Linked DNA regions of Rhinolophus ferrumequinum. The protein of the gene in region 1 interacts with the protein of each later gene in a pairwise test. Links are inferred from orthologs where the notes say so. Each region holds a gene or a part of one and is shown on either strand. Other genes may lie near its edges.

Region 1 (8,044 bases):
AACCAAAGCTTTAGATCAGTTTCATACATAAGTCCCAAAGGGAACATGCTGTCCAGCTGCTTTGGCTTTTGCACAAATCTCCAGGGTGACCTCTAACAGCCGTCTGCCCTGGAGTTCAGTACTGACCCCTCCCTGGCTCAATCTCTTCTTCCCCAGGCTCACTCACTGGGTAACACCTCCAAAGGCCCTCTCCACCACAAAAGCTGTGATCTTCTCCTTCACAGCCCCTGTGGCTGCATCTGTAACTGGTGTCTTGGCAAAGACTGTGAAGATCTCAGCCAGGCCCCCATTACTGTGGAAAAAAAAGGGTTATCAGGGCATGCAGGACAGCAGTGGGGCCTAGAATTGGGCAGAGATGGAGAGGAGGGGAGAAATGGAAGATTACCTGATCCAAATCTTGCTTCCATTGAGAGTGTAATATTTTCCACAGGGGCTGGGCACAGCCGAGGTTCGGATGGAGGCTGCATCTGACCCACTTGAGGGCTCGGTTAAACAGAAAGCCGCTAAAGTCTCCCCTGTTGTGCAGAGAGCGCCTTTATGCTGTGCCCACTGCTGGGTCCTGATGGGCTTTGAAGGCCCCTCAGTGCCCCCGCCCCGATACCCATAACACCTCTGGTAGTATTCAGTTTCTTCCCATGTCCATGCCAGCACCCTGTGATGCCTTCCCAGAACAACCCCCAACCCACACGCCCAACTATGTGGTGGCTAAGTAGCACCAGCCTAATTGGTATCGAGCCCAGGACACCCCCCAGGTGGCTCGTAGGCCTGTCTCACCTGATGCCAGTTTGGGGAGGTATTTTTCTCTCTGTTTCTTCGTGCCAAAGAGCAGGATACCTTTGAAACCGATGCTTTGATGGGCCCCCAGGGTGATGCCCACACCAAGGTCATGCATGCCCACGATCTCCACCAAGCGGGCATACTGGAGGAAAAGAGGGCATCTGGGGCTGTAACTGGCTGCATGCAGACCTACCCTTAGCAGGAAAAGTGGGCAATAGGGCACGCCCTGATCTGGGCATCCCCACACAGTGCGTAGAGAGGAGGACCGTGGCAGAGAAGGACATTGGCTAGCTGGTGTCCGTACTACCCTTACGTTAAGGCAGTACCCACCTTAGAGATTCATTAGGATTTGGGAACCCGGGTGAGGTCCATGGCCCTAGTGGGCCTGCATGTAGTTTGGTGTGTGTGGAGCAGGAGGGTATACACATTGGGAGAGTCAGCATCCCATAGACCGCCAGATGCTTGGCAGAGACCTTAGCCCCAGGGTTGAGGGAGGAGCTGAATCTGGGATACTGGGAAGTGACTGAGGGGCTGGCTCCCTCACCTGGGTGTTGCAGAGGCCCACGCCACCCAGTTCACTGGGCACTTGCAGACCAAAGGCCCCCAGCTCCTTGAGGCCCTGCATGGTGGGCTCCTCCACCTGCTCCAGCACGTCATTCTTGGCAGGATCGTTCACCTCCTGGGGAAGTCACAAGATCCCACATCCAGGCTCCTTTTGAACTTCTTAATCTCTTCCAACCCATAGAGGACCATGCCCTCTTTCCCAGCCCCAGTAATTCCTCACCTCGAAAAAACGGGACACAGGCCCCACCAGTTCTTTGAGAAACTGCATCTGCTCCTCGTTGAGCACTGCAGGGCAGCAGGTATGGGCAGGTCATGCCAGGCAGGTCAGGGGAACCCACCTGCCCCCACCTATCTCTGACTAACTCTTACCAGACGGGTATGGGAACACCTGATCCGTGGTGAGCTGGCCCTTGAACATCCCCACAGCAAAGGACTTAGATTCCTGCGCCAGGAGAAGGGGGTTTCAGGGGGCTGGCTGAGGTGGGTCCACACCTCGCTTAGCTCCTCCAGGCTTTGGGTCACATACCGCCTTGGCCCGTTTCTCCTTGGTCGAAGCCTCAGAAGAGAGAGAATCTGACTTGTCCAGAACCGCCTGGGGAAAGCGACAGTTAGCGCGGCCGGGAAAGGGCTACCCAAGTAAGTGCCCGGGAGAGCTAGGTGCCGGGGAAGGGCGGATCCGATGACCTTTCCCCTAGTTTCGTCCCCAGGCACCCTGGCCTGCCCTTTCCCCTACTTTTTGTGCCAAGCCAGTCGGCAGATGACTGGCATTAAGAGGGAGACCCTTATCCACGTCAGGGAGGTGGGAGACGCGTCGGACGCCCACCCCGAGCATCCCTCTTCCACCGTCCCAAAGCCGCCGTCACCTACCTGAGTGGCCGCATTGGCATAAGGTCGTCGGGCAGGGCATGGCTGGGGCTGCCCCAGGAGAGAACAGGGCCGCGAGCTGTGGGGAGTTGGGGGTTCAGTCCTGGCCGGGTCCCCAGGCCCGCTGCCCCCATCCCTCCCGGCGTATACACACCTCCCGCACCCCAACCTCAGCAGCTGTCGCCCCACTCTCGGAGCCGTCCTCGCCGCCTGCATCTCTGAACCGCTCCGGCTGTCGCTGCTTTGAGCTCTGACCTAACGCTCTACTCCCGTCAGCCAAGGTCTGAGTCCCCCCCACCTCTGACTCATCCCCCACAATGCCCCGGGAGGCGGGCGGAGCTTTCCGGCCGCCAGGGCATGCTGGGAGCTGTAGTTCCGAGTGCTCCTGAGTCCTGCATTCTGGTTGACCTAGGGTGATCTCCAAACGTCCCTTGTCTTCCCAAAACTCCTTCCTCCCGTCTGTCCGAGCTAGAGAGTAGTCTTCAGAAGGCGTGATGGGATACGCTGGGACTGAAGAAGTTTGCAGCCAGAGGGATGTAGGGTAGACTGAAAGGAGAACTTCCCAAGAAGAGTTAGAAAGGAGAGGTGGGAAGAGAGAAGTATAAATAGAAGCAGTGGCATAGAAAGACGACTCTGGGATCTCTCCAAGTCCATCTCCACAAAAGGGAGAGGAATGGCGGGGTGGGGGACTCGAACTGGGGTGTGACTGTCCTAAGCATATTCTCCTGAGACCTAGGAAGTATCACTAACTCTGGAAACACCTAAATTTTCACAGTAGCAAGGACCTCCTCTTCCCTCCTGGAGTTCACTGCCTCCCATGTAGGGCCACTGAGACCTTCCTCAACATCTGTCTCTCTCTCTGCAACCCCTTCCTTCCTGAGACCATGTGCTCAGGCTAGACCTCTGGGTAGATGGAGTCTTCCCAGGCCTGGGAAGAACTATAGGAATTCTCATGTTTCCACACTTCTCTACTCCTGGGCAACATGTCCCAGGTAATTTATGCCCATCTTTCTGCCATTCTCACTGGGGACAGGCACTGGAGGAGAGAGAGCTGAGCTCAGTTTCCTTTATTTTTGAGCTATTGGGGCCTCCTTGGGGGTGACCCTCGTTCTCAGTCCCTTAGGAAAGTGTAGCTAAATTGTGCCTGGCTTTGGGGAGAGGGGCCCAGGGTATGTGGAACAAGGTGGTGGTGGAGGTGCCTGGGGACCTAGGGAAGAATGGGACATCACTGGGTTTGTTCTGAGAACGCTTATTTGACCTAAGAGCTAGAATTGGGTGGGGAGAAGGCAGCTCAGCTCTAATCCTGGGGGATTAGGGAGATTAAAGTGAGAGAAGAGAGAGATGTCAGAGAGACCAAGAGGTGAAAAATAGAAGTCCTTGTGAAGCAGAGGCCTGGGGGTGGAGTGTGGGGCTGAGACTCAGGATCCTTCTCCCTGACCTTTCCATAGAGTCTGGGGTGAAAGGGCAAAGGCTGGGAAAGATGAGGTGAGTGAGGGCATTGGTCCTCACTTCCTTGTTCTAATTCGCCCACCCTCACTTGCATTTCACCAGCTCCCAGGTCAGCCCTCTGGCTCCTGGCTCCCCCACTATTGCGATGGGCACCCCCTCTCCTCACAGTGCTGCACAGTGACCTCTTCCAGGCTTTGCTGGGTGAGTAGTCCCAATTTTCTGAGGGGCAATGGTGGAATGGTCTGGCCTAAGCTTGTGAGGGCAATTACTGAATTTGGGGGCTGGTTGGGAGCCTGGAGATTATTTGGTCCAAGCAGGAGTTTCATGCAGGGGTCTGGCTAACAGTGTCCCTCCCTGAGGGACTATCCACTAGCCTTGGCTGGAGGAGCTCCTCCCTTACCAGAAAGAAGGAAGCGAAGTGATGGCAGGGGTGGCCAGGGAGGCAGGGGTGGGGGAGGGTAACTCAGTGCTGTTCCTGTGACAGACATCCTGGACTATTATGAGGCTTCCATCTCAGAGAGTCAGGTAAGGGGGTGAGGGTGGGGGCCTGACTTCCTGAGGGAGGAGGCAGGGTTGAAGGGGTAAGCAAAGTACTCCTGATATTGAACTGAGACTTTGGGATCCTGGGGACAAAATCCTGAGTTAGGGGCACAAAGAATGCACTCTCCTGTCCTTTAGCCCCTTCTCCCTCTGGCTTCCTCCTTTCCTTTGCCTGCCCCCATTTCTGGCACTAAAGAGTACAGGATATAATTACTTTGCGGGTTTCCTTCTGTGAATCCTGAGGGAGAACTAAGCCTGGGATTCCCTCCTGCCAGCCCCTCCCTCAGCCCTGCCATGGCCTGTCCAGTATTTAAACAAACATGGGTGCTCCCAGCCCAACTATGGGTGCTTTCTCCTCTAATAAATGAAATCCACCCTCGTCATGTCTGCTGTCCTTGCTGGTGGTTGGCCAGGTCTCCATGTTTGCCTCAGGGCCTCTCCGCTTCTGCTTCCATATCCTTTCCCATTATCCGGGTTCCTGCCAGCACTGAAGGAGTTAACTCTGCCAAGGCACCCCCCCATTCTGGCTCCTCGCTCCCTCCCTCCCTCCCCCTGCTTCCTCTCTCCTCCTCTCTCCCCTTCCCTCCTCAGCTTCACCGCTCCCTCGGCCGCTGCCGCCTCCAAGCCCCCCCCCCTCCCCTGCAAAGGCCCCTAGCCTCTGGCCAGTAGGCAAGACACCCCCCCCACCCCGGGGCTCCCCGAAATCCAGTTTCCCTCCCCCACCTCAGCTCATGCCCCAGCCCCCGAGCCCCGGGGCTGCCAGCCCCCGGTGCCCCCGCCCCTCCTGAGAACCGGGGTGTGCTCCCCAAGCCCCCTCCCCTCCATAGGGGACCCCCTTTTAGGGCCCCCTTCCCCTCCCTCCCACGCTCCCCTACCCTTCCCTTCTCCAACACCCTCTTTCCCCTCTCACCCCTCCCCCCATCCTGGCTCCCCCTGCAAAAGTGGGGTGCGGAGGGGGGAGGGGTGAGAACCCACGGAGGGGAGGAACAAAACTCCGATGAAGTCAGAGCCCCTAACCCGCCACCGCGGCCAGGCCCCCCAACATGGACTGTCTCTGTATAGTGACAACCAAGGTAAGCCTGATGGGGGGACTCTAAACTGGGGGGAGGGTATGAGTTTGTGGGGAGGGGTTAGACAGGTCTAACCTGGGGCTGGGGAGCATCAGAAGATGTATTTGGGGTCCTAATTTAGTTTTGGGGTTTCCATTTGAGAAAACGCTGGGTTTGGCCACAGGTGCCCCCTGGAGTGATCTCTTTGGTAGAAGTGGAAAATTTGGGGTGTTCTGTGGTTTGGGGGTCTGGTGGTTTTGGGGGTTCACCAACAATGTTTGAGGGAGACTTATTTGAGGAGAAGCCTGGCTCACATGGGAGTCCTGCTTGTGTATGTTAGAAGGTTGACTATGTGGGGGGGTCGTCTTTCCTCCTGGTGAACAAGCTGGCTTCCAGGTGCCTTGTCCAATTTCAGGGGTGTTCTGGTATGGCATGGGGGTAGGAAGTTATTGGTTGTGAGTGCCTGACTGGTCTGGGGGTATCAGACTGTGGGAAGGGGCTTGCTTTCTTTCTATAGAACCAGCATCTCCTGGTAGATACATTTGGGGGTGCTCTCAATTTGAGGAAACTGTTAATTTAGGGTGCAGTCACATGGAATGGGGAGAGCTGGGAGTTGTCGGAGAGCTGGGGCCTGACATTCACCTGAGGGAATGGACCAGGTGAGGTTAGGATCTGGGGCACTCCCATGGGAGGCAGAGGGTTGCAGCAGCTGAGGTTGCCAGCTCCTGAGGTTTTGGAAGAGAGGGTATTTGAAGAGGGGAACCAGGTGGGTGGTGCAAAATTTGGGGGTGGCCTAAGTAGGTGCCCAATACCCCCATCTCCTCCCACACTCTATCTACCCTTGGTTGAGAAAGAGGGAGAAGAGCAGATGGAGGGGAATGTTCCTGTTACCCCTGACACTTGGGATCATAGTCGGGGAGGACACCTGGATTTAAGGTGACTGGAGTGAAAAGAAATAGGACGGCTGGGCTGGCAGCAGTGAGGATCTGTACTAGGGTGTCCCTGTGGTTGGAGCCTGGAAAGGGAAGAAGAGCTTGGATGGGGAGCACAAGCAAGCTCCTGGTGGATGCAGAATACCTAGGTCTTGGCTGTGAGACTCTCGGACTGGAAATCTGGATGCTTGGTGTGTGCAGGGTGGCTTGGGCGGGTGGCAGGCAGCTGGGGGTTGGGGGGTGGGACAGGAAGTGGGGGCCGGGGAGGCGGGGTCTGGGTGAGTCACTGGCTGGGGAGGGGGTTATATTTAGTGGGAACTGCAGCTTCTCAGAGGAGGGAGTTGAGGACACACATGTTCCCTGCCACAAACTCACACATGTGTGTACACATGCGTCGTGTGCGTGTGAACATGGATGGAAGAGGTTGGGGGCTGAGGACCTTTAGGTCTGGAGCCCCCACCCTATCTCCAGGGCTACTTGCTGGTCTCCTTTTCTGTGAGCTTTCTCCTACGCTGCTTCTTTTTCCCAACCCTTGTAGTGTCAGTAGATTTTGGGGGCTTCAGTTTCTCTGGCCTGCTCTCCTTTAATGTCCTCTGGTTCTCTGCTCCTCCTGCCTCCAGCCCTTAGCCTTCCCCTTAGCCTTAGGCTCCCTGGCTGTGGTCCCGTGTGCAGGTGTACACAGAAAGCCAGTTGGAATGTGTGGGCTCTGCTTCCAACACGTGAACACATATGTGAGCGAGGGTGAGGGGCTTGCCTGCACTGACATTCTGGGAAAGGGGGCTTATCCATATCTCTTCCAGACTCTTACTTCTTCGATAGAGCCCAACGTTGAGCATCCATTAAGTAAGGAGCCTTGCGCAGAGAGGATCATACATTTGGGATCCTACAGAGGCATGGAGATCCAGGGTTGCCACATTCCTTGGCCGGAAAACTTGTCAGTCTTGGGATGGCGGGGACTCCAACTCCCATAAGGCCTTGAGGCACAAAATCCCTCAGTGTTAGGGGATTGCTGCCCGTGGGGCTGTTGGGAGTTGTGGTTCAGCTTTATCCAGGGCAGTGGAGGGTAGCCCTGGAAGAGCCAGGAGGGGACACATGGCTCTTGACCCCCCAAAATAGGGGGTGCTTAGGCTTTGCGGTCGTTGAGCTTCCCAGCTCCATCTGAGAGTCCTCCATCTTTCATTGCCTATATTTAGACTCCTGCCGCAGTAATTTAAGGAATACTTATTGAAAGCCTACCTTGTGCCAGGCCCTGTGCTTTGTGCTAACTCTGCCTTTACAGCTAACACTTATTCTTACGCTGTGTGTCTCTCTCTGCCGGTGTCTCTCGATCTCTGAGCATCTCTTTCTCCCACTCCGCCCCCATCCCTCCCTCTTCTCCCCGCGCTGCTGCCGCCGTTGCCATGGTAACCGGCGACGACTGAGGTTGCGTGGTGGACTTGAGGGCCGGGCGAGGGTGGCGAAGGGCGGAGCAGAACTAGTGGGGGAGGGGGCGAAGTGGGGAAAGACCCGGGGTATTTGGCCAGAGCCCAGGAGGCGAAGCGGTTAAACCCTCCGGGTGGTCCTTATTGGGCAAAGCTAAAATGACGGGGGCGGGGCAGTTTGGCCAACAGCCTCATTCATTGGCCGACAGGGGCGTGGCGAAGGGACAGTGTGGGCGAGGCCGGGGTGGGTGGGGGGGAAGAGCAAATGGGCGGGAAGTGGACGGAGGCGTGGTCTCCTGGAGGCGGGTGGGCGGGGTCTGGCTTACTCTCAAGGGAGGCGGGCAACAGCCCTTGGAACGGGGCGGGGCCTTAGGGCTGGGTAACCTGAAAGTGAGGGCAGGTCTGGCCTGGCAGGGGCGTGACGTGGTCCCTTGTGTCGAAAGAAGAC
Region 2 (6,982 bases), on another chromosome or scaffold:
GAATGAAATCGGACTCTGGAAAGGTTTCCTGACCATGGGGATGGTAAGACATTAGAAGGGGTCTGTTTAAGCCCCTCTAGACAAAAGCATTTGCTCCCTTTATCCCCTCACTCCAAAAACCTCTGCTACTGATCTTAGTAGATTAAGAGAAAAAACAAACAAACAAGAAGTCCCTCTCTGAATTTCAGTCTTCCCATCTGTAAAATGGAAACAATTATCCTTAGCATTTGCCCTAGACTCCTGGAAGGTTTAATTTAAAAGAGTTCAATGGTAACTACAGACCACTCCAAAATCAGACAAGCCCCAGAAGTTTCTCTACCCAACAAGAATCCATAAAGTAAGGAATTGTCAGGCTAGCTAGAGGCAAAATGCATCAGAAACTGGGTGGGATGAAGAAAAATGGAGCTCAGCCAGCTTAAGCCCCAGCATCAGCTGGAGAGAGATGATGTGGGGTGCCAGGCAGTAGCTTAAAGCAGGCGCTGCCACAGAAGAAAGTCTGGGAGACTGGCCTGCAGCAGTGCCAGCCTCTCACCAGCAGGAATCAAGACAAGCCCAGGTCCTACCTTGCTGGTACATACGTCTAGGAATCCCCATCCCCAGGAACATCTGTAGCTCCCTCTCTTTGGAAAGGGGCACCAGGTTGAAGGACTTACAGTCTCAGGCTTATTGAGTCTTTAATTTTTCTCCCCAAATCCCCTATGCCCAATTCTAATGAGCATGGGGAAGGGAGGAGGGCGGGGAGGGTTCCAGGAATGGAAAGTAACATGGAGAGTTGTAAAGTTCCTGAGCTAAAACTAGCCAAGAACCCACAAATTCGCTGTGTGACCTTGGGCAAGTCCCCTCCCCTTCCTGGGCTTCAGTGTCTTCACTTTATAATTAAGAGGTTGGACCAAGTTAATTCTAAGGTTCCTCCCCTAGCCATCGTTCGATAGCTACATACAAGCTCACTTCTTGGACATGAGCCCCCTGACATAAAATGCAGTGGGCACTGCCTGTCAGATCAGTGGGGCAGTGGGGGTCAGGCATGTGGGGGTGGCATCCAAGGATGTTCATCTTATGTTCATGTTCCTTTTAGAAACACCTGCCACCCTAGCCCTCCCAGCTCCCTTTTTAGACCCTGATTCACTGCCAACTCACGAAGCCTCTCCCTCCCCTCCTTCTCTCTCTCTCTCTCCCTTTTAGGCCTTGGCAGCTGGGTGCAGAAGTAGCCCCAGAACCCAGAGAATGCTGGGCAGAAATAGAGATCCGTACCCCCAGGGTCAGAGAGAGCACAGCAGGAAGCAACATTCTCTAACCTTCGCCCAACCCAGCTCCTTGTGTCACCAAATGACCTGGGTTGGAAGCTTTCTGTACCACTAACAGTGTGGGATTATGGGAAATGCAATTCATTTCTCAGTCCTCAACATCTTCATCTATAAATTGGCACCATATTAGGCTGAACTACATGAAACTGTTGTTTTTACAGGTAAAAAAACAAAAACAGTTGAATATTGGCAATTTCATATGGCTTAACCTGGCCTTCCTGCTTCCCAGCACTATTAGCGAGATAAGAAGAGTTGAGAGGGGAACGTTTTTTCAAAAGCCCTGCATTAACATAAAGGCATTGTTTTTATTATTATTATTACTTCAAAGAGCTTCAGCACAGACCCACCTAGAGCAAGCAGGCTGAACCAATGACCCAGAACTTGGAAATTTAGGGCCTGGAAGTTTGGGGGACAGCCACCTGCTCTGATGACTAAGAACAGGGCAGAAGCTTGGCCTCCTCGGTTTCTGGCTCTAAAGGTCCCTTGGTGAAACATTACTGAGATGACACAAGTTCCCAGGCCCCAAAAAGAAGCACACACACTCCAGCTCACCTCACACCCCACTACCACCATGGGCCCCAGCAAACAGAAAGGACACAACCAGAGCATCGCAGAAAGTACCCCCTGAGGTAGGTGAAGGTGGGGACCAAGGGGGGAGTGCAATGCAGCTCTTGCCTGAGTATGTATGAGGGAAGATGAGGAGTCCCTGGGGAGGAGTCCCTGACCTCTGCAAAGTATGATCTCCCTTTCCCATGCCCCCCAACTACCTGGAATCCCCCAGGGGGGAGGGGGGAAAAGCTCAGGTATGGGTGACTCAGAGTGAAGCCTGCTCAGATACATTCTCACACAACCAACACACACACACACACACACTCATACAGACCATAGATACCTGGACCCACTTATGGAGACACAGTCACACTGGCACACACACATCCATTCACATACACACTCACAGGACATACACAGGCACATGTGGTGACACACACGTCCGTGAATACATACACAGCAACACCCTTCACACTCACTGCATACACCCACTAACACGCACACAAACTCACGCACAATGACACACGCACACACCCACAATGACACACACACTCACTGTATACACTCACTGGCACAATCACCCACAGACCCACACACTCACACACTCATCACAGACACACAGTGACACGCACTCACACTCACACACCTGCAGAGGAAACTTCTCTCCGGGTCTCCCCAACACCACCACTCCCCCACCCCCCAACAAGCCAGCTGGCTACTCCCTCCCTCACCCAAGCCTCCTGCCGGGCCGGGCGGGGCAAGGGCTGGCCAGCCCCCGAGGCGCTACCCCAGAGAGTGGGTCCTCGCTCCCAGTGGTACCCCGCCCGTCCCTCGGGCCAGGCCCGCGGGCCGCCAGACCCGGGCGAGGGCGAGGGCGGGGGTGGGAGCAGCGGAGGAGGCCCAGCCCTGGCCCCTCCCGGGGCCGGGAGCCGAGGCCGCTGGAGCCCGGGGCGTGGGCGGCGCCGGGCCGCAGCCTGGCCGAGGATGGGGGCGCTGCAGAGGGCGCGGCGAGCGCGGCCCGTCCCCACCCCTCCCCGCGGCTTACCTGGCCCAGCTCGGGCTCCGGCCGGGTTACATGGTGCCGGCGGCCCGGGCCGGGGGCGCTGCGGTGGCGGGCCGGCAGGCAGGGATGGGGCCCGGCACTGCGGAGCCCCCAGCGGAGGGGCCGCGCCGGCTGCGGAGCCCCGAGCGAGCGCCGAGCGGCAGCGGGAGCCGGAGCGGGAGGCGGCCAAGCCACGGAGGCTGGATTTCCCGGGGACCAGGAAGGGGAGGCGGGGGGATCCCGCCCGCGCGCTCCGCCCCCGCCCCCGCCCCCGCGCAGGGCTGCCGAGCCTCGAGTCCGGAGAGGGAGGGGGACCGAACTCCCCGCCCCCGCACCGGACCCAGGAGGGCCCAGGTCGCAGCCGGCGGGCGGCTGCAGGGGTCTCCGAGGAGCTCCCGCCTCGCTGAGCGGCAACACTGGGGAGGCCTAGCTGGGGGTTTCAAATAAGTGTCCCCTCCCACGGGACCACCGGCTTAGTGTCCGCCGGGGATCCAGGAACAGGCACACAGTGTCACGGCCACTCACAGCCGACCTAGGCACAAGGACCTAAGCACAGAGGCGGGCTATTGGGGAGACAGTCACACAGTCTCAGACACGGTCTCGCGCCCCATCGAGGCAGTCACACCCTGAATGTCACACACAAGCCCCCCAGACACATCCCCTTAGGAGATTCTCCTTCAGGTTTTCCCGGTCAGCTACCCGACTTCAGCTCCTGGCCTCGGTTCAAGGAGCCCCCTTCCTCTGCCCCAGCCCCTGCCAGGGTGGGGCGCTGTGCCCGGCCTCCGAGCCACTGACAGGCGTCCTCCACCCACAGTCCTTACAGCCGAGGCATCTCCAGTGAAGAGGGAGAACCCCGCTACACCTGCCGACTTTGCTGGGACCCCCCACCTGTGCCCACGGTGCCCGCCCACCTCTAGGCCCTGAGCCAGGGGTTGTGCCAAGGCTGGGGCGGGGTGGAGGAAGAAAAGGGTACTGTCCGGAGCACAGCCAGAGGCTGCAGAGCCAGGACACAGGCTGCAGGAGCCAGGAGAGGCGGAGGAAAGCTGACTGCAGCAGTTCCTGGCTTGAATCCGTGTTGGCGCCCACAGCGATGCTGTAATGGGCACACGCAGGGAAGGGGGTGGGGGGGCTCATTGGGGCAGCCGCAGGGGAGGGGCTGAAGATATGGGGTAGGGGCTGGTTCTGGATTCTGATTTCCCAGAACGAGCAAAAGTTGAGGTGGCGAGTAGTGTGCATCCTCAAAGTCCTGTTCCTCTTCCCCCTCCTTCTCTGATCTTGAAAGCTTTGGGGTAATGAGGTATGGGTTTGGGAGACCCACTGTCCTATCTAGGAACAGACCTTAAAGTAGCTCTGATTCAACACTCACCCAACAATTCCCTTCTCCTTGTACCCCTTTAGGGTCACTGGGTCTCCTCCTTGTACAAAGGGAGAAACTGAGGCACAGAAAGTAGAATTTACAGGCCCAAAAGAGTTAAAACTGAGAGCCAAGCCTTTTCCCTTTCCCCGGGGAGATGTTTAAAGACGTCACATGACATAAATGGCACAAAGGAGTTTGGAGAGCCCTTTCCCAAAGAAACCTAAAAGTCTGGTGGGAGATTGTCAGACTGGTCACCTCTCCTGCTGCCTGCAAACCCAGTTTAAGTAAGACTTTTGAATCATGAGCTAAGGTCACAGATAATTCCCAGCCCAGGGATCAGCCAAGAGCAGATATCAGAGAAAACAAGATAGAAAGTTGGTCCCAGGAACCCACTTTAGAACTGAAAAAGAAACTCAGTTTCCATGAAGCATAAGAACAGCCATCACGTAGAATGCTAAAAGGTACCATAACGTTTTTTCAGTTCTAAGACATACATTTTGTTAACTACTCTGAAATTGCAAAGCATCTTAAAATAAATAGATATTTAACATGGTTTTCTACTTTTTTTCTTAAAGCTGTTATCAAAGGGTTGATATGTTTTATAGCATAGTGTAGTTTTCATTTGTTCATTCAACAACCATTTACTGATTGTAGCTGGTACTTTGCTAGCCTGTTGGGTCATAAAGATTAAACAGATAGGCTTACCTTGGACAGTGTTCTCTCACACTCATCCATGATGTACGAGGAAGATGGAGATATAAACCAATAATTACTATCAGGGCCAGCTTCATGGGAGTGTGTGCTGTACAGTCACACAGAGCCCACACTTAAAACGGTCCCTCTCTTGGTTTAATGCTCTGATGTCACATCTTGAAATTCTTAATCATTTTTTAGCAATGGGCCCTGCACTCCACAAATTATGATTGCTATATTAGGAATCCCATGCCTCAATAGAGACGGGCACAAAATACTTTTAGAGTCTAGCAGCAACAGCCAGCTCTGCCTAGATGAAGAGAGGCAGTTCAAAGAAGTAAAGAAGCATAAAGGAGGCGTTTGAGTAGAGTCTCAAAGATTGGGAGAGAGAATTAGGGTAGAGAGCTGCATAACATATATACAGAGACGGAAACTCATCAAAATGTCAATCAAGCAGTATGGCAGACTAGATGTTTGGTTGATTCTCTCACTGAAAATGTGATAAATGATTTTTTTAAAAACAGGTGGATAAAATATATTTTTAAATCTTGTTAAATGCATCAATGAACTAGCAAGGAAATAAAAATCACTCCAGCTAAAATTTAAGTGAAGGCAGACCCAGAGAAGTAAGCAGAACACTGAAGCTAACTTTATCCCAAGGGCTGTGATACATTGGTTGCAAAAATGGCACCAATTCACCTCTTCCCTGAATCCATGTCCTTTGCCATATGACTTTGAAACTCCCTACATCAAGAAATGGACTATTTTCTCATAGTTTGAATCTGGGTGATGTGTGACTTGCTCTGGCCAATAGAATGTGGAAGAAGTCATGGTATGCCAATTATAAGTCTTAGTTTTAAGAGGCTTGTATACTTCTACTCTCTCATTTGGTTTCCTGCCTCCACTGTGAGAACAAGCCTGGAATAGCCTTCTAGAGAATGAGAGACAAAGTGTAAGCCAGCCATGCTATCCCAGCCAAGACCATCTTAGACCAGCCTATAGCCAGCTGATCCCCAAACATGTGAAATATACCTGACCACGGCTGACTGATGAGAAGAACTATTGAGCCAATTTGAGGTCTCTTGAGCAATAATAAATGCTTAATTTAAACCACTGAATTTTTGAATGGTGTGTTATGCCAGAATACTGTTGCAATAAATAACTCATACAGGGGTATTTGCTAACAGATGAAATTGAACTTCAGTTTTCATAATCTCTCAGGGCATTTGGGAAAGAAGATAAAGTGCAGGGTCTGCCCAAGGTGAGCAAATACTCCCGTGCATAAACTAAAGGCCTAAAATGGCTCTCTCTACTCTAAGTACAGGTGAACTAGAAAAAACTCACCCCGTCTCCACACCTAGGAAATTGCAAGAAAAATTACCTGTTTAAAGCCTTTGCAATAGCATTGAGTGTAGGGAGGAAGAATCACCTCCTGAGAATCCATAACTACAAGTTAGACCTCACAGCACAGGCAATCAAATTCACTCTAGTTAGGTAATCTGGAAAATCTCAAATCAAGAATTTAGTATAAAATGATCCCAGACTGGTTGTGTCTGGCAAAAACAGATGTAAATCTTTGTTAGAGGAATTTACCTTCATCTCAGGCCTCACATAATTCCCACAGATAAAGTTCCAAAGAAAATGAACCACACAGTTAAATATCACCAAACACACAAGGAAACATGGCACCAAAAATAAGAACCAGCAAAAACAAATCTGTAAAGAATTCGACTATTAAAATTATGAGACACAATATAAAATAACTATATATATGTATATGTATATATTTATAGAAATATATATGTATGTGTATATTTAGGAAAATAAAATAATCCTGTTGCCTTTGGTTTATTTTCCTTGTCTTATTGTGCTGACCAAGTCCTAGAATACAATGTTAGATAGAAGTGGTGCTGTTGTACGGTATGTTTGTCTTGTTTATAACTTTAATGCTCTGACATTTTTTCTTTGTGATGATATTTATTGTAGGATTTTTGGAGACTTCTTTGATCAGCTATAGGAAGCTCCATTTTATTTCTA

The links. The genes of interacting proteins can lie anywhere in the genome.
Region 2: the proteins of DLG4 (region 1) and DLGAP3 interact in a two-hybrid assay, tested with the Homo sapiens proteins (2 studies listed by BioGRID and IntAct). The link is inferred for Rhinolophus ferrumequinum from reciprocal best matches to the Homo sapiens genes DLG4 and DLGAP3.

What each region holds. Positions count from the first base shown.
Region 1 is NC_046304.1:11,613,478-11,621,521, forward strand, and holds the start of DLG4 (disks large homolog 4), read left to right. Parts: upstream 1-5,039; 5' UTR 5,040-5,237; coding exon 5,238-5,267; intron 5,268-8,044. Other genes in the region: ACADVL (very long-chain specific acyl-CoA dehydrogenase, mitochondrial), read right to left, coding at 167-292, 386-515, 775-919, 1,322-1,456, 1,562-1,626, 1,711-1,783, 1,868-1,933, 2,209-2,284 and 1 more. UniProt on the Homo sapiens protein: Postsynaptic scaffolding protein that plays a critical role in synaptogenesis and synaptic plasticity by providing a platform for the postsynaptic clustering of crucial synaptic proteins.
Region 2 is NC_046292.1:24,258,252-24,265,233, forward strand, and holds the start of DLGAP3 (disks large-associated protein 3), read right to left. Parts: upstream 3,098-6,982; 5' UTR 2,899-3,097; intron 1-2,898. UniProt on the Homo sapiens protein: May play a role in the molecular organization of synapses and neuronal cell signaling. Could be an adapter protein linking ion channel to the subsynaptic cytoskeleton. May induce enrichment of PSD-95/SAP90 at the plasma membrane.